Arabidopsis thaliana: one gene and its partners. The protein of the gene in region 1 interacts with the protein of each later gene in a pairwise test. Each region holds a gene or a part of one and is shown on either strand. Other genes may lie near its edges. The genes, in order: RTL2, AT2G24030 and DRB5.

The links.
Region 2: the proteins of RTL2 (region 1) and AT2G24030 interact in a two-hybrid assay, tested with the Arabidopsis thaliana proteins (one large-scale study listed by BioGRID).
Region 3: the proteins of RTL2 (region 1) and DRB5 interact in a two-hybrid assay, tested with the Arabidopsis thaliana proteins (one large-scale study listed by BioGRID).

What each region holds. Positions count from the first base shown.
Region 1 is NC_003074.8:7,115,547-7,123,246, forward strand, and holds RTL2 (RNAse THREE-like protein 2), read right to left. Parts: upstream 5,478-7,700; 5' UTR 5,350-5,477; coding exon 4,873-5,349; intron 4,750-4,872; coding exon 4,594-4,749; intron 4,502-4,593; coding exon 4,137-4,501; intron 4,003-4,136; coding exon 3,825-4,002; 3' UTR 3,645-3,824; downstream 1-3,644. Other genes in the region: CPK9 (calmodulin-domain protein kinase 9), read left to right, coding at 842-1,577, 1,832-1,975, 2,067-2,219, 2,331-2,446, 2,532-2,699, 2,778-2,905, 3,003-3,102, 3,198-3,278; AT3G20430 (phosphorylated adapter RNA export-like protein), read left to right, coding at 5,934-6,211, 6,323-6,428, 6,961-7,104, 7,259-7,528. UniProt on the Arabidopsis thaliana protein: Ribonuclease that cleaves double-stranded RNA (dsRNA). Required for 3'-external transcribed spacer (ETS) cleavage of the pre-rRNA precursors.
Region 2 is NC_003071.7:10,217,438-10,225,359, forward strand, and holds AT2G24030 (zinc ion binding / nucleic acid binding protein), read right to left. Parts: upstream 4,628-7,922; 5' UTR 4,574-4,627; coding exon 4,459-4,573; exon of another isoform or gene 4,197-4,458; coding exon 3,781-4,196; intron 3,692-3,780; coding exon 3,557-3,691; intron 3,448-3,556; coding exon 2,746-3,447; 3' UTR 2,624-2,745; downstream 1-2,623. Other genes in the region: scpl23 (serine carboxypeptidase-like 23), read left to right, coding at 1-105; AT2G24020 (Putative BCR, YbaB family COG0718), read right to left, coding at 432-506, 599-655, 743-814, 1,037-1,076, 1,168-1,268, 1,406-1,548, 1,772-1,832; AT2G24040 (Low temperature and salt responsive protein family), read left to right, coding at 6,591-6,680, 6,957-7,094.
Region 3 is NC_003076.8:16,434,375-16,442,171, reverse strand, and holds DRB5 (dsRNA-binding protein 5), read right to left. Parts: upstream 3,908-7,797; 5' UTR 3,726-3,907; intron 3,634-3,725; 5' UTR 3,626-3,633; coding exon 3,380-3,625; intron 3,286-3,379; coding exon 3,066-3,285; intron 2,972-3,065; coding exon 2,256-2,971; 3' UTR 2,117-2,255; downstream 1-2,116. Other genes in the region: GDPD2 (PLC-like phosphodiesterases superfamily protein), read right to left, coding at 1-161, 245-314; AT5G41071 (uncharacterized protein), read right to left, coding at 1,921-2,103; AT5G41060 (DHHC-type zinc finger family protein), read right to left, coding at 4,632-5,072, 5,158-5,391, 5,479-5,769, 5,847-6,029, 6,487-6,570. UniProt on the Arabidopsis thaliana protein: Binds double-stranded RNA. May be involved in RNA-mediated silencing.

The DNA of each region.
Region 1 (7,700 bases):
GTAGAGTGGAGGTACGTAGCCAGGCCTAGGAGAAGAGAAGAGAAGAGAAGGAGAAGCAAGCTAAGAAACTGAAAGCCTAAAAACTTTTGAATGTTGATGATTAAAAAAGAATAGATACATGCTAACAGCTTATGCATTTTTGAAATAGTTTTTGTTAACTGTCGTGTAGCTTGTGTGTAAATATGTCGACGACAAGTCAATGATGTCACACACACTACACAAAACAAAACACTGCTTCAAACTACCTTCAACTTCGAGTCCATTACTATAAGCAAAAGTCCCAAATCAAAACATCAATTTTCTTGTTCTTGTCAGCTACTCAAACCTCAACATGTTACATATATTTTTTCAGATAAAACAAATCATTCTCATCGTTCTTATCTGACCAGGAATAATTCAATGGAAGTATGAGTTTGACTCGGTTTCCTTTTGATATTAGTCGTACTTTTCAACATTTTACCTAGATAGAGCCGTCCTCTTATAATTATTCATCATTTCATGCTTCTCATGTTACATTTCTGCAATTTTTCAACTCTTTGATTTTATATAATCATTTGTTTCCTTTCTTAATCAAATCCATCTGGCTAACATTATTTAGCTTGATGCAATTAAGGTATATTATCTAATGAGGTGATGCTTCCACGTCTTTATATTATTATAATCCCTCAACAATTTTAAAAAAAGATCCTGACTTTCAATTTTCTCTCTTGTTTCTTCTTTTGATCATCTTCAACAAAAAAAAGTTACGATCTTTCTCTCCGGGTCATCGGAATTTGAGCTAGCTTAGCTAAAGTTCCGATCTTTCCTCTCTGGGTCGTCGGAATTTGAGCTTTTTAAAATCATGGGAAATTGTTTTGCCAAGAACCATGGATTGATGAAGCCACAGCAAAATGGTAATACCACTAGATCAGTTGAAGTAGGAGTAACCAACCAAGATCCACCGTCGTATACTCCACAAGCGAGAACCACTCAGCAGCCGGAGAAACCAGGTTCCGTGAATAGTCAACCACCACCGTGGAGGGCGGCGGCTGCAGCACCAGGACTAAGTCCCAAGACCACCACTAAGAGCAATTCAATACTAGAGAACGCTTTCGAAGACGTGAAGCTCTTTTACACATTGGGTAAAGAGCTAGGTCGTGGTCAATTTGGGGTAACGTATCTGTGCACAGAGAATTCCACGGGGAAGAAGTACGCTTGCAAATCGATCTCGAAGAAGAAGCTGGTGACTAAAGCTGATAAGGATGATATGAGGAGAGAGATTCAGATAATGCAGCATTTGAGTGGGCAGCCTAATATTGTGGAGTTTAAAGGAGCTTATGAGGATGAGAAAGCTGTGAATTTGGTGATGGAGCTTTGTGCTGGTGGTGAATTGTTTGATAGAATCATTGCTAAGGGACATTACACTGAGAGAGCTGCTGCTTCTGTTTGTAGACAGATTGTGAATGTTGTCAAGATTTGTCATTTCATGGGTGTGTTGCATAGAGACTTGAAGCCTGAGAATTTCTTGCTCTCTAGCAAAGATGAGAAGGCTTTGATCAAGGCTACTGATTTCGGATTGTCTGTCTTTATTGAAGAGGGTAAAATAATCAGACTTTTCTTTAGGGTTTAGTACATTTTGATGAAGTTGGTTGTCTCTAGGACATAGATAGGATACGTATCAAGGTTCTGGTTATATTGGTATCTTGTGTCTCTTGGTTCCGTGAATTGCATGAAGAAGTTCAGACCTTTCTTGATATACGGACTAGGCTAGAGACCGCTGTTTTTGTTCTCTGATAGAGTTTGATGTTTCTTACTCTTCATCATTTGGTGTTTCTTCTTCTTGTCTTTGCAGGAAAAGTATATAGAGATATTGTTGGGAGTGCATACTATGTTGCTCCAGAAGTCTTACGTCGCAGATATGGGAAAGAAGTTGATATCTGGAGTGCTGGAATCATCTTATACATTCTACTCAGCGGTGTGCCCCCGTTTTGGGCTGGTAACGCGATATTCTCTCTTCTTTGTTCCTTTCCCTTTTGAGATTTATATGTTGTGAATAAAAAGCTGAAAACAGAACATTGGATATGCAGAGACTGAGAAAGGAATATTTGATGCTATATTGGAAGGCCATATCGACTTTGAGAGCCAACCATGGCCGTCAATCTCCAGCAGTGCCAAAGATTTGGTACGTAGAATGTTGACTGCGGATCCAAAAAGGCGGATTTCTGCTGCTGATGTTCTTCGTAAGTACCTTTTGAAGACATTTTACGGAGCCACAACACAATGCAAAGTTCTGGAAGATTCCATTATCGGTTCCTTCTTGATTCTGAGATTTGCTCTACTGTTTTGTGCAGAGCATCCATGGCTTAGAGAAGGTGGAGAAGCATCAGACAAGCCAATTGACAGTGCTGTTCTCTCAAGGATGAAACAATTTAGAGCAATGAATAAGCTAAAGAAACTTGCTTTAAAGGTGAAGTCAAGATTTTTCACATATGCAATGTGATTCTGTGGTTGTGGTCCTCTTTTTCGTTATACTCATGATGAGATTCTAACAGGTCATAGCGGAGAATATTGACACGGAAGAAATCCAAGGATTGAAGGCAATGTTTGCTAACATAGACACTGACAACAGTGGCACAATCACTTATGAAGAACTGAAAGAAGGATTAGCCAAATTGGGATCTAAACTCACAGAGGCAGAAGTGAAACAGCTCATGGATGCTGTAAGTTGGTCAAAAACTATATTTTCCCCCATTCCGTTCCTTTACTTTAAGAACTCAGATTCTCGGGTTTGTGATTAGGCTGATGTTGATGGGAACGGGTCCATCGACTACATAGAGTTTATTACAGCAACAATGCATAGGCACAGGCTTGAAAGTAATGAGAATCTTTACAAAGCTTTCCAGCATTTTGACAAAGACAGCAGCGGGTAAGTGACCTGTTTCTTCTCGATGTTATTCATTCTTAACCGGTATATATATAAGCAAGATGGTGAGCCTTTTCTTGGGATCAAAATGTGTACACAGATACATTACAATAGACGAACTGGAATCTGCATTGAAGGAATATGGAATGGGAGATGATGCAACAATCAAAGAGGTTTTGTCAGATGTCGACTCCGATAACGTAAGTTAAAATAATTCATCTCCTCTCTTTATCTTCTTCTTCTTCTTCTTATAAGGAAACTGAACTCTGTCCATAACGGTTTGCCTCTCTTGCAGGATGGTAGAATCAACTATGAAGAGTTCTGCGCAATGATGAGAAGTGGAAATCCACAACAACAACAACCTCGGCTGTTCTAGTGGACATTGTTGCTGGATTAAAAGTCTTTTTGTTTGTATCTAATCCAGAAAAATCAGGAGCTGAATTAATGTTTGTTCAGACAAAAACCACGTAAAGAGGAAGATACTCAAAACTCTGATTGCTTGTGTTTTGTATTTTGTTCTTCACTTCTTCTGTTTTGTCCTTTGTGTTCTGTACTCAGGCTGTTGTGATATGAGAGAAAGAGAGGTTTCATTTTTACCGTTAAGATTTTGATCCTGACTGTGTTAACATTTTACCTCAGTTCCTCCACTTTTAATGTGATTCTCCATTCCATCAAATGTCAAATCAACGAAACAACTGCTAAAGCAGAGCTTTCCTATATTTTAACATATTCCGGAGGCGCAAGTATCTTTGGCAAATGGCTTGGTTCGCCTACAAATTCTCCGTAGTGGGGGTACAAGAGACTAATTAACCCCAGGCTAGTAGGTTCAAAGAAAAACATAAAATTCGAAAGTGATTCATTAGAGGGTGTTTTTGGTTCAAGGGTAAATACAATTTTTAATTTTACAAATGATACAAGACCATTAGAGATAATGAGATTTTCTCAAGGCTCTAATCATGTGATACGCCGAGGAGCTTTCTGCTTTCTTTATCTTGGACTGTTCATCTCCCTTCATATATAATGTTTTTTCTTCTGTTATCTTAATCTTAGCAGAGCAAACAAATCTCTTTCCCTGTACCGAGCTTCTATCTTCCTCAACGCTGAAAAAATGTGAAAAACAATAACAAAATGTTTTTAAACAATGGCTTATCAAATGTGTTCTGCTTCTTGAGATTATAAGACTTTAGACTACTCAAGTATGTGAATGCTTCCAAGATGTAGGAGTAGGATATACCTGTAGATAGGCTTAGGCCACTTTTTCTTTAAGCAAATCTCGTTCAACTTCGTTTTAGCATGTGTAAGTTGAATCTCTACACTATCTTCATCAATAACCATTTCAACGGGAAAAACTTCTGACAACTTCCGTAACGCTTCTTTAGCAGCGATCAGCCTTGCGATATCTTTATTCTCAGCTCGGCCTGAAGCCAAAAGCTCATCATCAAGATATATAACAGCAATACTGACATTACCATCTTTCCAATTCTTGATGTCGATTCGCTTCTTATGTTTATGACATAATTTAAAAAGCATAGACACAGGTTGAGGTTGCTTCTGCAAATCGTCCAATGTAACTATCGGTTCCAAAAGACCCCTAAAGATCTGCAAAATCGACAATAAGAAAGAAGCCCTTAACTTTCAGTAACAAAGACAAAACACACAAGAGTAGATCTAAAGAAGAAGTAGACACAGACCACCCATAGTCTTTGTAGATCAAAGTTGACATCAACATACACAGCTCCAGCTAAAGACTCAAAAAGATCAGCTAGAACTTTAGGGGCTTTGACTAATCCACCATATGACACTGACAAATCATCTTCTTTCCCCACCGCCTCTGAGAACTCTTTAACCTATCAAACGACATCAACACACACAACTTGGTGGTGAAGATATCACAAGAATCACTCTGTTTCACATAAAGAATCACTCTGTTTCCAGGGTTCTTCAATGCAAAGACAAGTTTTATGGATTACCTTTTCATCTAAAGAAGGAGCATTGCGTCGAAGAAATGAATAGAGACCATGATTAAGAGAGACACGAGCGAGTTTCTCAGTACTAACATTAGCTGCTCTCAACAGAGACAAGTCGTGTGGCTCAAGGCTAGGGTACGTTAGGTATAGGTAATTTGAGATTGCTAAACCAATAGCACTATCGCCTATGAACTCTAGCCGCTCGTAAGAAGGAAAGTCTGTACACGAGGTGTGTGTAATCGCTTCCTTGAGAAGACTCTTGTTACTGAATTTGTAGTTGAGTATCTTCTCTACTGCTTCCATAGACTCCATCTCCGACGAAACCGGAACGCTTGGTGCTGATGGGGAAAGAGAATTGTAGAAGCGGTGGATATCGGCCGAAGACGGCAGTGGTGATGGTGGACGGTGAGGAAGTGAATTGGATAAACTACAGCGAGTGATGGCCGGGAAATTGTACTCCGGTGAGATAGAGTGATCCATGGTAGAGAGAATCTAAAGAGACGCCAAGTCTTCTCTGTTTCAATTTTCCTTTTAATTCTTTTTGTTTTCCTAATTCTATTAGTTTTGACTTTTTCATTGACTATAGTCCTCAGGACAAATAAGGAAAGTATATATATATAATTTATTATATTGGGGCAAAATATAATTAAAAACTTTTATATAAAGGAAATGGATTAAGCTTTTTTCTTAAAGGGCAAAAATTGCCTAAACCCTAAAGCTGAGATTTTTCTTGCTCAGTATTGGGTCGATGACGATGAAGTGTGTGTTTTGTTGATAATCTCGAGTGTGGGTGATCGAAGAGCAAAGGAAGTCCCAAGGTTAGCTTCTTATTTTGTTTATTTCGCGATTCTAATTGATCTACTTTGTATTGAGCAATTTTTTGAGAGATTCATGTTTTTGAAATCGTGTTATTGGATGTTCTTGTGAGATTATCGTTGTAAATGTAAATGGTTTCGAAGTTTTTGTTTGAATGGATTGGGATTTTTGTGCGAGTGTTGTTTTGTTATGTGTTACATTTTGAAGTTGTGTTTGGTTTTTGGTTGGGATTTTAGGTTTTTGATCTCATGGAGGGAGAAGAGAGTTTGTTGGATGCTATAAATGAAGAAGACGGATTTGAAAACTTGGAGGATGTTGAAATGGTTGATGTTGAAGAAGGGGAGATTGTTGTGGATCATGATTTAGATTCTGGAGAGAGGCAAAATGATGATGGTGATGGAGTCAAAGATAAAGAGGCGATTTTGGGTGAGAAGAATGGACTGCAACAGACAAACAAGAACAAGAGGAAGAAGAAGAAGAAAAAGAGAAAAGGCCCTGTGATGGACAAACCCATGAGTGTAGACTGGTAAGTGTTCTTTTTCTATATGCTAATATTGTTGTGTAAATTCTTGGTATAGCTGCCTGATCTTGGCTATGGTTGAAACGTTGCTCATTGTTTGATGTTTTGTTATGGCAGGTTTGTTAGGGATACTTGTAGACGCCTTAAGGAGAAGAAGTCTTACATGATATACACAGCTGTTGGGTGTCTCGGAATTGCTGCCTTAAGTGATCTTGTCAATGAGGTATACACTACTTCAAGATGTTTTCTGTGTTATTCCAGTTAAAACCTTGTTTGATCTGTGTGTGACCAGCAGTGGCAATCTTGTTTAGCTGTATTGTTTCACCTGCAGTTCAAGATATTCCTAGTGGAGCCTTTTTTGCTGCTTGTGCCTTTTGCTGAGATGTAGATGGTAAAACTTCATATTTTAGGTTGATTTTTTTTTCCCTTCTCTTGTGCACATCTGTCTTTTCTCTGTTTTTATTGATCTAGACAATTTGTATGAAACCATAAGTGGATAGATGAAGTTTTTATGATCAACAGTGTCAACCATATTTTCATGATCGAGACCATAAGTGGTTTGAGTGAGACCAACAGTGTCAACCTTATTTTCATGATCGAGAAATGACTGTCCACATATTCACTACTGCTTTGTGGATTGATCCTTCTGTTACTCCCACTGTATGCTTTTAAGTTGGTTAAGAATATTTCTATTCCACTTCGCAAGATTCTTGCCAAAGATATGATTGATGATGGCAAGAAATATTTTTTCTTAGGTGGTAGCAATTGAGACCTGTGGAGGTCAGGTGACTGCTGATGGCACTAGGAAACGGACAAGTGGTGGTGTATTGTGGAACATCATCAAAGCGAGACAGCCTGAAGCTTATAGAGAGATAATGAAAAAGACCAAGGAGTTTGAGGTTTGTACTTGCCTATCATATCACAACATTCGTAAATATATCCTGCTTTCTTAGCTTAAATGTGAAATAGCAGTCATGAAGATGTTATATCACTGTTTTCTATCTTACACCTCTTTCTCTCTTGCTCTTTGTCTTACGCTTTCAAACTTTGCAGAAACAATTTAGGCAACCAAACACGAGACCAAAATCAGGGCCTAAAAGAGATCAGGGTAGCTCCTCCGAAGGACTTGCCTCTGGAAATGTATCTGCTGATGAAGCTCTGGTGAGCGAGATGTGTGTTATGCCGGTAGCTGAGCAAACTGAATCCAAACCGGAAAAGGAAAGGAAATCTGTTCATGAGAGGATCAGGGTACCTGTTTCATATGATGACCTTTTCAGAGATGCACCTTTGGATGATTCACTAGCACATCATCCTTCTGCTTAAGCTCATTTATACACCGTTTACCTTGGACTTTTTTTAACTAGGTAAACAATATATCTAAGCTACTGGATGACTTCTCTTGTGGAAAGCAATTGTTTTGTCGAGAAATGGAAAGCATTGATTTTGTCGAGAAATGCATTAACAAAACTATATATACCAACTACCAAAGATTTCT
Region 2 (7,922 bases), on another chromosome or scaffold:
ACGATAAGAGGGGCGGGCCACGAAGTGCCGGTGTTGCAACCCGAGCGTGCTCTCACTCTTTTAAGATCGTTCTTGGCCGGCAAAGAGCTTCCAAGATCTTATTAGTCACACACATAAGATAGAAGGCTCCCTCCAAAACCCGAGTTAACTCGGTGTTTTCTTTTGAAATTTTTATGTTTCAAATCAACTTGATTTCATAAGACACTAAAAGCATTCTTGTATTCGAAGAAGATATATGTTGATACTAGAACAATTGTGTTGATACCTTGGGAATAAAATTGCAGAAAACCAAAAGTTTCAAATCTTTTATATATAATTCCATAAGAGTAGAGTACAAAGCTCTTTGCTTCTGCCTGACTGATATACAAACAAACAAAAAAAGCCGAACCTCTCATACCTGAAAGTTGAAATGAAACAACAAAAACAGCTTCTTACTTCATTCCTTCGCTGAGACCCGGTGGCATTCCTAAGCTCTGCGCAAGGTCACTCATTCTCTCTTTCATAGCCTGTGAAAAAATTCACAAAGTTCAATTAGAAGAAATGGATAGAAACAAATACTTTAGTTGCATTGTGATAAATGGTCTGCAAATTGCTATACCACCACACTCTTGGCGTGTGCGTCCTTGTATGCTTCTGTGACAAGTTGTGATAGTTTCTGCCAAAGGAAAACACACAACATCAACAAGAGAAACTGATGAATTAGCTTTGACTGTTCCATAACAAGGTACGTATGGTTACTCACTTCGGAACCTAGTTCCATTGCTGCCTCGGTAATATCAGTACGGATTGGTTGCTGGTTACCTGATAACGTAACCTGACACAAATTCATAAGGTTTAGGTCATCAGACTTTGTAACAGAAACAATAAAGACTAAACAAAGTTTTGAGATTCTAGAGTGGAGTTCTTGCCAAATCATCCAAAGACTAACAAATCAGAAAACACAGTTCTTACATCATCAAGTAAACGTTAGTTAATACTTCACTGATCTATTATGTGCATTGATCTATCTTAAGGCCAAAACAAGCTCTAAACTGACCTTGACAAGCTCGCCTGCACAATAACCATCAAATTCTGCGCTGCGAAATTGGAACAAAACCAACATGCAAAACTCATTACTCATAGAAGAAAACTTCCTCAAATTTTGTATGATAAATGTGCCGGACTTACGCAGCTAACTCTTTTTGAACACGTACAGCTTCCACTTGAACAACCATTTGAGCTTTCTTCACAGTCTCATACATATTCTGCATATTACCAAATATTCCTGCCTAGGAAAGATCACACACAAACTTCATTAGTTCCAAAATCATAAACTTTGAATCTTTACAACATGAAGCCTAACTTAAAATGTTCACCTATTGCAGAATCTGTTTGATATTTGAAAAAACCAATGTAATGTACCAACCTTTGATTGTCCATCTTCACTGTTATTATCTTTGTTTCCACCTCCAAATAATCCATTCACTCGAAGAGACCTGTAACCATTTTTAGACTTGTACTGCTTTGGCCATGTTCTTCTCTGCGAATTCAAGCTCGCATTTCCTGAAACTATTCAAACCAAAAAATTACTAAAGCCCATTTCAATCCCAAAAACACTTATAAATACAAAATTACGCTTCAATTCCTCCAATTATGGAATAGAAAAGTCTAATTACGAAAGATTAAGCAAATTCAGATGAAACCTAATGTACGACAGATACATAAAGACTCAAAATCCAGTGTCACGAAACCTTAAGCGAGAGATAGAAGTAGGGATTTAGGAGAGACTAACCATGAGAGAATGGAAAGAGCATAGATTTGGTGAAATTGGTGGTTGCAGCCATCGACGCCATTGTTGTACGAGTAGAGAGATATTAGAGAAGGGCTTTTTTTCTGAAATTCGAGAAGATAAAACCGGAAGCTAATTTTTTCCGGGCAACTTGTTCGTAGCTTCTGTGTTTGTTGAAGCTTTTAACCAATGATTTTGCGCCACGTCACTTTAACTCTTTTTTTGAGCTTAGATTGTTTTTGTACCATTCTTTTCTAGTGAAGAAGTCGCAACTTTAAAGTTTATACACTTTCAGTACGAAATTGAGTGATCAAACGTAAAATGTTCTTACATCAGATATTGATTCGATTTTCGAAAAATTCAATTTCTAGTATAGATGAAACTTTATCAGAGATTGTAACATGCTTCATTAAACCAAAAAAAAAAAAAAACATGCTACAATAGAACCATCTTTCGTGGTTCTATGTATGGGACATGGTCATATGTGTTGTGGTCTTGTGGAGCTGTATTGCGAGAAGAACTATTGATTGATTGTGGAGTTGTCTATATACCCTCTATGTATAGAGAGACTCACCCCAAACATTTGAAATACCTCTAGGCAAACCATTTTGGGCCTCTCCTGAAAGAAGACATTTATCATCGTATCATGTCCAAACAAACATACTCTGCTTGTACAGTTGTAAGTTTGTAAAACATATGATAAAAGCATAAGACAACACACACTCCAAAATGCAATCATGATCTATACACTTATTCTGGTCTCTCTAATGGCATTGGTTATTATTCTCATGATTCTCAATCTCACAACAAAAAAAACATCATGCAAATCTCCTACTGTCACATTGCATAAGAAAAAATAAAAATAAATTCATGAATTCAATCTCTGATTCCTCATGGTATATTGTCATGACCTAACAAAGGTTTTTTTGGTAAAAAAAGTTGATATAAAATAATCTAACAAAGTTACAAAGAATCTTCTATGACTTCTCCAAGCAATGAACCTTACCTTGTGTATCATCCATTGCTAGAGATACTGATTCTTTCTGTCCTGGATCAGCATTCAGAGATCTCACTGGGACTGTAATGAGTTTATTCTGCTGTTTCTCAAGCAAAGCCATGTGTTTTTTCCCAAGCGTATGATTCCTCATCGTCTGCTCAGAATTCGTCTGAATATTACAAGTTTTGCACCAAACCGTTTCCTTCTTTTTCTTCTCACCTTTTGTCTTCTTTCCCGTTGTTTCTTTCGCCGCAATTTCATCTACTTTTTGACCCTGCGGATTAGCATTTTCACATACTCTAATGGCTTCTGGTTGCGGTGCTGTAACGGAAGCAGGGGATAAGGAGGTTGAAGCAGCTTCAGGTGTCTCATTCTGTTGTGTAACAGCAGCCTTATGCTTTTTACCTAACTCATGATCCCTCATGACTATTTGACAATAGGTCCCAACTTTACAAATCTCACACCAAAACTTCTGGTTAGTTCTTAGCTTACCTTCTGCTTTCTTTCCACTGCCAAGTTTCCCTGAACAAGGAACCTTCGAAGAGACTATTTCTCCGGTTTCCAAAGACATCGCCTTTGCTTCTGATTCTTTTGCTTTCGGCCTTTTCACTTGAAGATCTTCGTTCAAACCAGTTTGAATATCCTCTGCTTTACGCTTTTCTCCTACAGGATCAGCTCTAGCCTGCAATAGTAATCAAAGAGAACACATATGGTCAGGATTTGTTATAAGCAAGTAAGGAAAGTACGTGGATAGAAAAGATGAGATATCACACTCGTAGTAAAACACTTACCAATACAATAAACTGCTCTTTGTTAGACTCCAAAACTGATGTTCCTGTAGCCTCAGGCATTTGCTGAAGTTTAGGCAATTGCATGGTACCAACACTGTCTGCTTTAGGCTTAGCTCCTATAATATCAGCTCTATTCTGCAATAGAGAAATCAAAGAGAACACATATGAAACAAAGGCTTATATATACTCTATCATTTATGTTTACCATTACTTAAAGAACTCACCAATACAATCAAATTCTCTTTATTAGACTCCAACATTGATGTTCCGGTAGCTTCAGACATTTGCTGAAGTTGAGGCAATTGCATCATTGGTGATGTAAGTAGACTGTTGTAAGAGCCTGTGTTGATCAGAGAATCAATGTAACTATACTTCTGTCTGAAAAAGTTGTTGAACTGATTCTGATTTTGATTTGGAAGCTTCCTTTGATTGATCCACATAGTTAGCTTTTCCTCTAGAGACATCTCCGTGTCTGAAACTCGTCGTATCGCCATTTCTCTCTCGATAGCCATCTCTTGTAAAACCTCAGCTATAAGCTCTCGTTTTCTCGCTGCTTCTGCGATAATGATCTCTTGACGGATTTGTTCTTTCTCAATTTCTCGTTTGATCGCTTCCCGAACTTGATCCTCACTTTGTTGTCCTACGAAAAAGGTTCATAATCACTTCACATTTCGACATGAGAAGATTCATAAACTTCAGATTTTTCACACAGATTTCAATTTCGTGAAATCAAAACATGAAAAAACAAACACTCAAAATTTACGTTACAGAAACTAAACAGGTCTCAACAAATCAACTCCTATAGACAATCGCATCACCAAACAAAATACGAAAAGTGCAGAATCATAACAATGTTCTCTGTCGGGGATGGATAAAAAATACGATGCACAGACAGTACAAACCTGGCATTGATCGTTCCGACAAGAAAGGAAAGTTCGGTTTCAGCGACGGAGATGGTGTCGTGTCCGTCGCAGGAGGTGGGCGATTATTATCGATGGCTCTGTATCTGAATTCCATCGAATTCAAAATTTGGAGAGAGAGCGGAGAAAGAGGGTTATCGTTTGTAATCGCTTTTACCTTCTGGTCGGTCACTTTTCTTAAATAACAGGGATAGCTTTTTTTTTTCTGTTTTTTCCCTTTTTTCTTTCACTGTTGTGAATCTTGTGATAATATCAAGAGATTTTTTAAAAACAATATGGAATTTAATCATATGCAATACTTAGCAAATTTGGTTACTAATTTATTAGAGATTTGACCTGTGATAAGATTTAAATATATTTCTATTTTCCTTAAAAACTTGTTTTATTGAAAATTTTAAATTACATTATGTGATCAATCTTTGACGGATTTTTCTATATAAAATTACAAATTTATTAGGGATTTGATTTGTGTAGTGGCGTTTCAAACAAAAATTTAAAATAAATGTATTTTAGATTAAAAAAATTATGTTAAAGGGAGTTTTAATATTTTAAGAGATTACAATTATTACATTATATGCGTGTTCAATTTTTGGCGGATTTCTCTATGTAAAGTTACTAATTTACTAGGGATTTGGTTTATGTGGAACCAAAAACAAGTTTTAAATTTTAGTCAATGTATTGTAGATGGTAATTATGCTAATATTTTTTTTAATCTTTCAAGGGCTTTAATCAAATTCAAAAACTTTGTTCAATCTTTATCTTTTTGTAACTTTGTAGAGGTTTGACCCGCATTATTCAAATTCAAACAGATTCTTAAAACAAAATCTTACAAAAATTCTATACTTTGAAACATTCAACCAAATTTTAAAATCGTGTTCAACTTTCGATTTGTCTATATAAGATTACTAACTTACTAGGGATTTGACTTGTGAAGTGAGAATTTCAAACGATTTTTAAAATTTAGGTTAATGTATTTTAGGTGGTTGAACAATTATCTTTAATTTATGGAGATGATTTTCTGCCTACCAATATATCACCGATTAAAATTCTCACATATGATTACTATTAAGCTAAGCGGCAAAATCATTGGCGTCCCGAAAAAAGTAGTATTCTCTCTGTTTCATAAGTTTGGTATTGTAGGTTTTTTACACAAATTAAAAAAGGTATTTTTTATACTTTTTGATTATTATTTTGTCTTGTTTAATAATATTAATTCTATTTCTCTGTTTTCTCTATTAATCACAGCTAAAAGTAATAATAATGTTATACAAACCATCAATTTTTTGTGAAAAAAAACCTACAACATCAAACTTCATGCAACAGAAGAAATATATAATAAGTTCTAGCGATTAGTTCAAGCCGCTTAACTCGCATCATAACAATGACATATTTTCATTTTAAACTCAGTTAATAATGATTGGAGTGTCCTATATTCTTTAAAAAGTGTAGTATGTCTTTTCATATTCGAACAACTAGGGTGTTATTCGTTTTATTATTTGAATGGTGCATCTCGATTATGCATCCAAATATTGTAATCTAGAGGATGCTTCCGGCTGTTGTTTGTTTATATATTTGGTTCTTCATATGGATTCCCTATCTTGATGTAACTTTGTTTGTTTTTCTTTTGTATTTGTTAATTTACATTCACATCGATGTATTTAATATCAAAATGACTAAATTGTGCATGTGTTAAATTTAATGATATCTTAATAATCTTAACTGTATTTACAACTAAAAAAATTTCAAATTTTTCTTGGCACAATTATAATCCAAGATAATGCAATGTAGCTCATCTAGTAATATCATTTATCAGCTGGAATGAGATTAAATAATGAAAGAGTATGGTAAGTGAAGCCATACCAAAGCTCCCGTGAGTCAACCAATAAACAGACGTCATACGTCAATACCCAAAAAGATATCAACAACGAACCGTAGGATATAATAAATCCCGCAAAATAAACGGTTAAAGATCTCGCGGTACACTCTGTATCTTAATTATTAAGATTCACGTCGCTGGACACAACACCTACTATATTTGTGGTTGTTTGTTTCGTGAAGCTTCTCTCTTCTTCTCTTTTTCAAGTCATCAAATCTGATCTAATCTCCGTAAATTAATGGCGAGTAGTTGCGAGCTTTGCTGCGAGATCTTCATCGCAATTCTTCTTCCTCCTGTCGGAGTTTGTCTCAGGCATGGCTGTTGCACTGTAAGTTTCATCTCTCTCTATCGATCTCTGAACTTTCACAGCTTCTTATTTCAGAAATCGAAACCGTAGTTGAAATTGAATTGATTACGGTTATTTAAATTGAAATTGGTTGCACTCCGGTTTACGGGAACCAATCAATATGATGAATGTGGAGATCAATTACTGAAAATATAATTGTGGTGTTTTTGTTAAAAAGAAACACTAATTAAGGGACTAAAAAATAAAATTTTTAAATTTTGTTTTTCCTAACTCATGTTTTTTTGGTTTAACTTGTAGGTTGAGTTCTTCATTTGTTTGATACTGACTTGCTTAGGCTACTTACCAGGAATAATATACGCAATTTACGCAATTTGTTTCTTGCACCGCGATGAGTATTTTGATGAATACAGACGCCCAATCTACTATGTTGCTTGACCTCTTGATTGATTCTTGCTCTTGAGCACACATATTGTACTTTAAAGTGTAATTTACTTGTATCCTGGAGATAATAATACCATTTTTTTTTAAGACACAGGTATTGTGGTTTATTTTACTATATACTTTGATGAATGATGAATGCATAATGCCCAATTACTATTTGCCTATGGAGCCCTCATATTAAAGGTCAGTATCTATCGCGCTATGATACAGCTAAAGAAATTAGCTCAGCAGTCACTGAAGTGGAAGAGGAAAAAGAAAACACTGTTTTTTCTCTGAACAGTGAAGAAGACAAAGACACTTGGTGAAGAAACAGAGACTGACAGTGATTCTGAATTCAAGATGACTAAGACGACAATACCAAAAACAGGAAGAAAAGTTTAAAACCATTGTTAGCTATTGCATCACTTGAAGACTTCACACTTCTTTTCTCTTCTTTCCTGTTTTGCTTTGCTAAGTTGTTTCCAGGAAAGAAGAAAGAAGAAGTTGTGGAGTCTTTTGATGAAGATAGTGACAGTGATTACTATATTTACCCTAGTCCATTCGATATTGAAGAGAATTCCAACAGTGAGGAATACAATCAAATCTTCATTGTTATATGTTACCCTAGTCCTAATACATACTATATTTATATAATGGTAGTACCATACTTACCATTACCCTGAGTGAGTTTCAACGATGATTGAAATTGAATTAAGGCATCCCACAATTAATTAGATTATTAATGTCAAAGACAAAAATTGTGTAGGCACTAAGAATAAGATAACAATCAACAAATTGTGTTTTTTTTTCTCCTCACCCTGAAATGTTCAAAACTCAAGATGA
Region 3 (7,797 bases), on another chromosome or scaffold:
AATCGGATACTTAGCGGCGGAATTGAATGAAAGAATCGAGTTTTCTTTAACACCTCTCGCTCTCCGATCAGACGATTGCAACACATTCATACCGATTCCTCTATGTCCAATCACCGAAAACCCCGGTAACCTAAACGACGTCGGTTTGCTCAACTCTAAACCTGTAATCAAAGACAAGATCATCAGAAACGAAAACAGCTCAATAGCCGACGAAACAGAGAGAGAGAGACAGAGAGAGAAATACCTTCGGATAAACCGTAGACAGAATCCGGGAGGCTAGGGACGTCGGAGACGAGCACAGTTCTAAGAGCCATTTCTCAAGAGTAGAGATATAGAGAAGAGAGAGTAGATTAGGGATTTCGAAAACGTTTTTGTGTGAGGATTTGTGGGTGTTTTTTTGCAGAGTATTTATATTGAGAAAAAAGGGATATGAGGAAAAAGGAGGAAGGAGCTGGATATGCGTGTTCGAATATTCCATTCCACGTCAGCAATGTGCCTTTCTTGATGGTTTCTTCCCGCCTTTTGAGGGATCTGGTACGAACACAGAAGAGTACGGTTCTCATCTTATACGTGGCATTGAGTCATTGGGAGATTATGTTATCTTTTCCACAGCTTAGTCATTGTCCCGTTAATTATGAAATTTTGGTTTTTTTCCAAACTTAGTGAATATATTATTGGTTTCATTTTAAAGATTCCTGCCTAAATATATATTAAAAAAAAATACAAATTTGAAATTTCAGACTCAAAAAACAACAACAAAAACCAAAATAACCTAAATTATTGTGGAACAAAATTTGTGAAAATAATACGTAAATTGTTCGAGATATATCTTGAAAAGTGCGTTTGACATAAAGGAAAATGTAGTTTCATTCAACTCCAAATATGTTTTACACGTTTTATTAATGGTTTGAAATATTGTAATGCAACACAACTGTATAGTTGGTCAAATTTGCAGCAATTAGACTAGTAAGCTTTTTAATTAAAATAAGATTTACTGAGTACTCATCCACGAAATCTGACGAGTGTAATTACGCAATAGAGAGTCAAAAAATAAAATTACGCAATATAGGAATAGAAATAATTTATTTATTCGATTCTCCAATATTTATGAACCGTGATTTGCAAGACACAAGATTTAAAACAAGATATTAAAGGTGATTTCAAGATCAATATAACTGTTAGTTTAATCAATTCTGAGTAAAAAAAGATTATATTAAATTCTGAGTTAAAAAAGATTATAATTTAAGCTTGATTTGCAAGTTGAGAATCCGTTAATAAATTGTGATCCATTTTTGGAAATTGTGCTTTTGAAAAAACCCATTTTTGGAAATCAAGTAAATATGGATTGCATTTTAAAAATATTGTATCCACGAAAATCTGACGTATAATAATGCAAGATATACCTGTCAAGATAATGAGAAAATTGATTTATGGTAGGTTCGTGGATCAGATCAGATCCAACAACATGTTAGCTTTCTTGCTACTTGGATCCACGTCATAAATTGTCAGACGATTAAAAAAATTTCCAAGCCGAACAAGTGGCTGGTTAACTCGTTACCTCCTGTCCGGTTGGGGTAATATGGTTAGGTAGGTCACTAGTTTTATGTTTCGGTTTGTTACGGCCCACGTAAAAGTTAGATGGCCCCAAATTAATGGACCGGCCCAAATAATTGAGAAGCAATCAAGTCTCGTGGTCTGACCAAAATAATTTCATCAAAGTCAAAATATACCAATTTGAATATTTGAGCAAAATCCTGAGTTCCTAACAACATAGATTATACGGATCTAAATCGGATAATGACACAAACGTCATTCTCGCAAACCATAATGTTTATATGGTCCAAAATCTTTACACAAAGAAAAATGTAACTTGTGAAATTTATAATTTCGAATTATTAAGTTTATTTGTTGGAACCGACGTTACAGAGCAAAACCATTAATGATGAAGAGTGGGAAGCAGAGCAGAGCATTCGGCGCATTAATGGAGGAAGACAAAACAAAACCCATTAATTGTTTTCTTGCAAACTCCCATTTCTCTTCTTCATCTTCTTCCCTAATTAATGCTCTCTCTTTGTTTTCGTTCTCTGTGCAATTCGCAAGCATTCAAAGTTCATGTCGGACTTTTAGAAAATTCAAACACTTCAAAAAAAACAAGAACACATTCAAGAAACGGAAACATACTGGTCTATAATTTATCTATGTGACAAACACTTGACAAGGATTTAATTTGAGATTAACCCATTAACCAAATTTAGCTAACTATCATGGGTTTGATCCAAAATTCTCGATTCTGAACCAAGTTTGATCATTTCGCGAGTTAGATTCTTCTTCTCTTGGCCTCCCAATCCCGGCGTATTCAGAACAGAGCAGGAATTATTGGATGAGGTGAATTCATTGACTGATGATGATAATGATGATGGGTTAAGGTTGGGGTTTGGTTTCGGTGGTGGAGCTGCGAAAACTGGAATCACTGATCTCATTTGAACCGCTGGAGCCAGACTATAAGGGTTTACGCTACACCCTCCGACAAAGTTGTATCTGTTCATGTCGGAAAAGGGCATTTGCTTACTCAATCTGGTTGATGTTTCATTGACTTTGGCTTTGCTGTTGATCATCTCTGTCGCTGTCTCTGTCTTAGCTTCTTGTGATGATCTGTCTTTGTATTGCTGGATAAATGGCAAAATTTTGGAGGATTTAGGTGGTGGTGGTGGGGGAATTAGAGAGATGAAACTGGAGTTTTTGTGTTGATTCGGTGTTGATGTTGATGATGATGAAGAAGCTTGATTGGTCAAAAGATTGATCCATCTCAATCTCTCAATCAACAAATCCTTGTTTGAATCTTGTTGACTTGTTCTTCTTCTCCATTGGTTTGTTGTCTCTCGTCTTCTTACTTCTTTGGGTTTAAATCTTGAGAGTACTCTTGCTACTGCTTCTTGTTCCTTCTCTTCATCTTGTGAATCCAAGCTTGACACTGCACAGTAGAGAAACAGAAAAATGGTTTCAAGTAGAAAAGTGAGAAGCTTTTTTGGGGTTGATGGAACAATTTGGAAGATAGTTATATATACTTTTCTTCAAAGAGGACCAAGCTGCAATGGCTGCGTTTTTCTCAGCTTGTTTCTTTGTCTTTGCTGATTCTCCTGTAAACGTCATCCCAGCAAGTTCAACAGTACAAGAGAAACCTGGGAAGTGACAAGATCCTGATCTCACACTTGTGTACATTGGTAGATCAAGACCAGCTCTATGTGCTGTCTCTTGAAGCAGGTTCTTGTAAATCCCTGTCTCATCCTTGTATAAAGAGTGACATGAAGATATACGATGTTACTCTTTTTGCATTTTTTTGTGTATGATCAAAACCAAGAAGAAAAGACAGAGAACTTACAAGAATCTTAGCAGTTAGAGACTTTGAAGGGACTCTAGACGAAAGGACATTAAGGGAAACTTCAGCAGCTGCATGCTCAGCTTGTCTGAGAGTAGAACAGTAAGTGGGACTCTCAAATATCTCACCATTGAAGTTAACAGAAGCTTTGAATCTTGGAGCATGATCTGGTCCTTCTCTTATGCAAGTATATGATGGTAAGTTGAAACAACTTCTCTGTGCAAGCTCTTGAAGCTGATTCTTATACATTTTTTCCCCTGTAAATACACCAAAATCAACCAAAGTCAACTCCAGAAACCACAAATCTCTTTTGGTAAAGTCTTAAGAGAAGACAAACGAAAAAGCCGACCTGTTGAAATTTGGTATCTTAAGTTTTGGCTATTTAGTGTTTGAAAGTAAGTTTAAAGAAGAGAGAGAGATAAAAAAGAAAGTTTTTGCAGAGGTTTTTGAACTCTTCACTCACATGGTAAGGTACTAAAGGTTCTAAATAAAGAGTAGAAGAGGATGCTAAAACAGTAATAGTGACATCTCAATTGAAATAAGGTTAGTCTTTTTATATAATTTATAACATGTGCATACAAATAACAATTATGAACAATGCTATTGACTCTCTTTATTGTCTTTGTCTATGATGTTTGACTGGTCAGTTACCTTCGTCCTCAGTTAATAACAGTTATTTTTTCATAAATGTTAGTGAAAATGATTTAGTCTGATACTTTGAGGCACTTATTAATGTTTAGTTTGACCAATTTGTTGATTATGTTCATTGTGTTTTGTCTTTGTTCAATGCCAAAAAAACTTTATATTATTGCTAATCTTCAATTTCCTAAACCAAAAATGTTGGCTTGTGATGTTAAATCTCTAACCTTTAGACTTTAGAGCTTTGAAGAACAAATAAGAAGCCTTTAGAGCTCTTTTGCATTTATTACAGAGCCGTGCTTCAATGAAGACTATAATAAGAGTTGTCTGGTCTTCTGGTCCACTTGTCTGAAAATTCAGTTTCTGCAATTTTTATCATATGCAAAGTACAGTATGAAAATCGTCGGTATTCATTTTGTTTTCTCATTCTGTGAAAGATAAGTCATAGATTACACTAACACACAATGATTTACGATTTAAATGTCTGAAGAACAACTAAAAATACTCATAACATCTGAAAATATCACACCAATTCACAATTGATTCCCGTGTAAACACACAACACATCAATACATCAAACATTTAAAACACCTTTCAATTTTCTCTTAACCTGCTTCTAAGCTCTTCTTGCTGATAAGGCCATAACTTCTGGTGACATTTCCCAGTTTGCGTTCCTCGGGTGATTGTTTGGCCTATTGATTTGCTCATCACCATTCACTATGTTCCCCATGTCTGGTGATAACTCGTTTAACTCATTGTCGTTAACATGAAACCGTTCATTGTTATTGCCATCTTTGCCATCACCATGTTCAGCCATTGCCCAAACACCCTTCCTCCCCATTTCAATATCATCATTGGCCTTTCCCATGTTTGGACTCATAAAACCGCCAACAACTGATCTCGACGGCATTGGATTTTCCCTTGGTACCATAGCCCTGAAGTTGTTCTTTGAAGGAGGTATTGGAGAAAAAAAGATTTCTTTGAAGTTATCAACCACTCCTTTGTTATGTGGGTTGCTATGCCGATCATAACTGTATCTGAAATTCTCATATGTAGTCTACAGAATAAAGAAAGATCAAACGATTAAACACGCATATCGAATGAGAGAGGTTTTTTCAGAAAGAGGCAAATGATTAGGGTACCTGATTTGTGCTGATGAGATAGAGATGGAAACATGTTAAGCCTCCAACGAAGAATGTAGATATGAATGTGTAGAGTATCAGAGCAATGGAAGCTGGAGTTTTGAGCATTGCTTTCAAGATACTTATATCTTCGGACTCTTTGATCTTCTTTATGTAGACACAACAAAAGGCGAACACATATACACAGAGAAGAGTCGTGGAGAAGACAAACATGAAGAAGAATCGATAGTTTCTCTGCAAATTCCCAAGGAGAATGAGATGAATTATATAGACTGATGTCAGAAACTAACGGACAGGAAAACGAAAAACCGAGAAACTTACTTGAGCAATACATTGACCAACCCAAGGACAGTGATGGTCAAACCTTTCTACACAGTTGTTGCAAATCGAACAATGTGAGCAGCGAGGCGGTCTATAGAGCATGCAAGTATCACAGTACTTGACCTTGAATACTTTTCCATTAACTTCCACTTCTTTAACACGAGGCAATCTTGGAGTTTGGCTTGTTCCCGAGCCCGTGTTGCCATCAACAACTTCTGGTTCTGGAGGATGAGAATTTCTTGGGATAATCCCTGGATCTCTTCCGGATGTAAGCATCAGCAAAATCAAATCCTGAGGGAAGCATTAATTGTTATGAATGATCCAGTCACAAAACGTTTTACAATGCAAAGCTAAACTTTTGTACTCACATAAATGGTGAAGACAACAGCAACAAGGATTATTGAGACTCCCCAACTATCAGAGAAGTCATCCATTAGTTTGCTAGCGACGAAGATGCAGAAAATTGTAACAGGTGCCACAATAAGACTTATGGTCAGACCAAGTGATCTTACATCCGGCCCGAAGATAAACCTTCCTTGAAGACAAAATATCTGCAGAAATGGGACAAATTTAGAAAATATGTTAACACTTTGGGTAGAAGGATTTAAGGAACAAACCTCAAAATGTTTAATTCCACTAGGTTACTACTAAACCAGATTTAAATTCGACATTGAAAGCAATATACAGACAGCATCAACTATATAACCTTTGTATGAAGAAGCATTCCTATAAATGTAGCAAGCATATTCAGATAATGTCCTAAGGTATTGATTAAAGGTAAAGATTTCATGATTAAATGTAGACAACTACCCAGAAAGCTACACTTCTAACACAAACCCAAGTCCCAATTTTTAAGCTTTACAAGATTGGAAACAGAGTAAACTGAGCCCATGAACGGATTAATAATTAATTTATACACAATAATAGGAAAAATAACAGAAAACTAGCTCAAGTATAAACACAGAAGCAAGTAATTCCAAAACCTAAAGCTTTCACATTAAAACTCACATTGCTTCCTTTCCATGTTTGGTAAACCCGTAAATCACAATCGGATCCAAAACCGGATCTTTGAGGAGGCGTCACCACATACATCTCTCTCTCTCACTTTCTATCGCTTGCTCTCGATTTCTTCAAATGTAAGCAAAGGGGAAAACACTAAAACGAAGATAACGAAAGAAGAAAAGAGAAAGCTTTTCAGTCTCCGTTGAAGAAATTCTTTAGATTTCGGCAAGTCTCCGACATGAAAATGAGAGTAGTCAGAGAATTAGATTTGCTCTTGGCTTCTCCAACTTCTTCTTCTTCCTTCACTTTTTTTTTTTCCTGCAAATAAATATAATATTTTAAAAATCGACTGTTAGCAGCTACTGGAGTCAGTCTGTCACCGTCGTTTTAGTTCAGGTAAAGTACTTTTCAGAAGCTAAAAGTGAAGAACGAAATAAGCTGACGTGGCACTTTTCTAATGGTCTGTTTCCTTACCTTGAGTACTCGACCTTGTTATTCATAAAAGAGATTCGATAACGGAAAAGAAATTTAAACATTTTGTTTTACAGCGAATTTACATCTAATTTTTTTTATCTCTATTGTTTTCCACTTTTTCTCAACTATTGATTTATATGTACCTGCAAAAAAAAACTACTGTATAAATTTCGTATGTTGAAGAAAATAATGTTAAAACTTAAAATAATTTGTGAAAGGAAAAAATAAAGTTGAAAATAGAAATGATTGGGAAACAACACATAAAGTGGATGGAGTCACCTAGAAGCATTACAAGAATTTAAGGGCAAAAGAAAAAAAGAAAAAAAAAATTAAAGTAAAATCTGCAGCAATCTTACATGAAGAACAATTTCAAGCTTAATGGGCCTTCTTTAAAGCTCAAGCCCATATATTGTTTCCAACTGATGAACTTGTAATGTAAGCTTATCTTCTCTAGTACACTTAAACCTGAAATTGTTATGCAATAAAGTCTTATGCTGTTCTATAATGTGACGAACAAAAGTCTATAATGTGAGCTTATCTTTGTATAGTTAGTTAACCTGAAATTCTCTTTCCAGAATTCAGCCACAACCGAGAGTAAACCGGGAAAATATCATAGTTTGGCTTCTTGTATTGATATTTAAAGAGCCATATCCTCTGACTACTTTCTTGGTGTTTATGCTGATGAATTGATGATGTTTACACTTCACTTTCAGTGGTCCATACACATATATATACACACTAGTGGCTTACCTTCTCCCTTCCATTTTCCAGTTTTAGCCATTTTTTATAAGGGGATTCATAGACAAAAACCCTTAAAATAGAGAGCATGAGAGCTCAATAAAT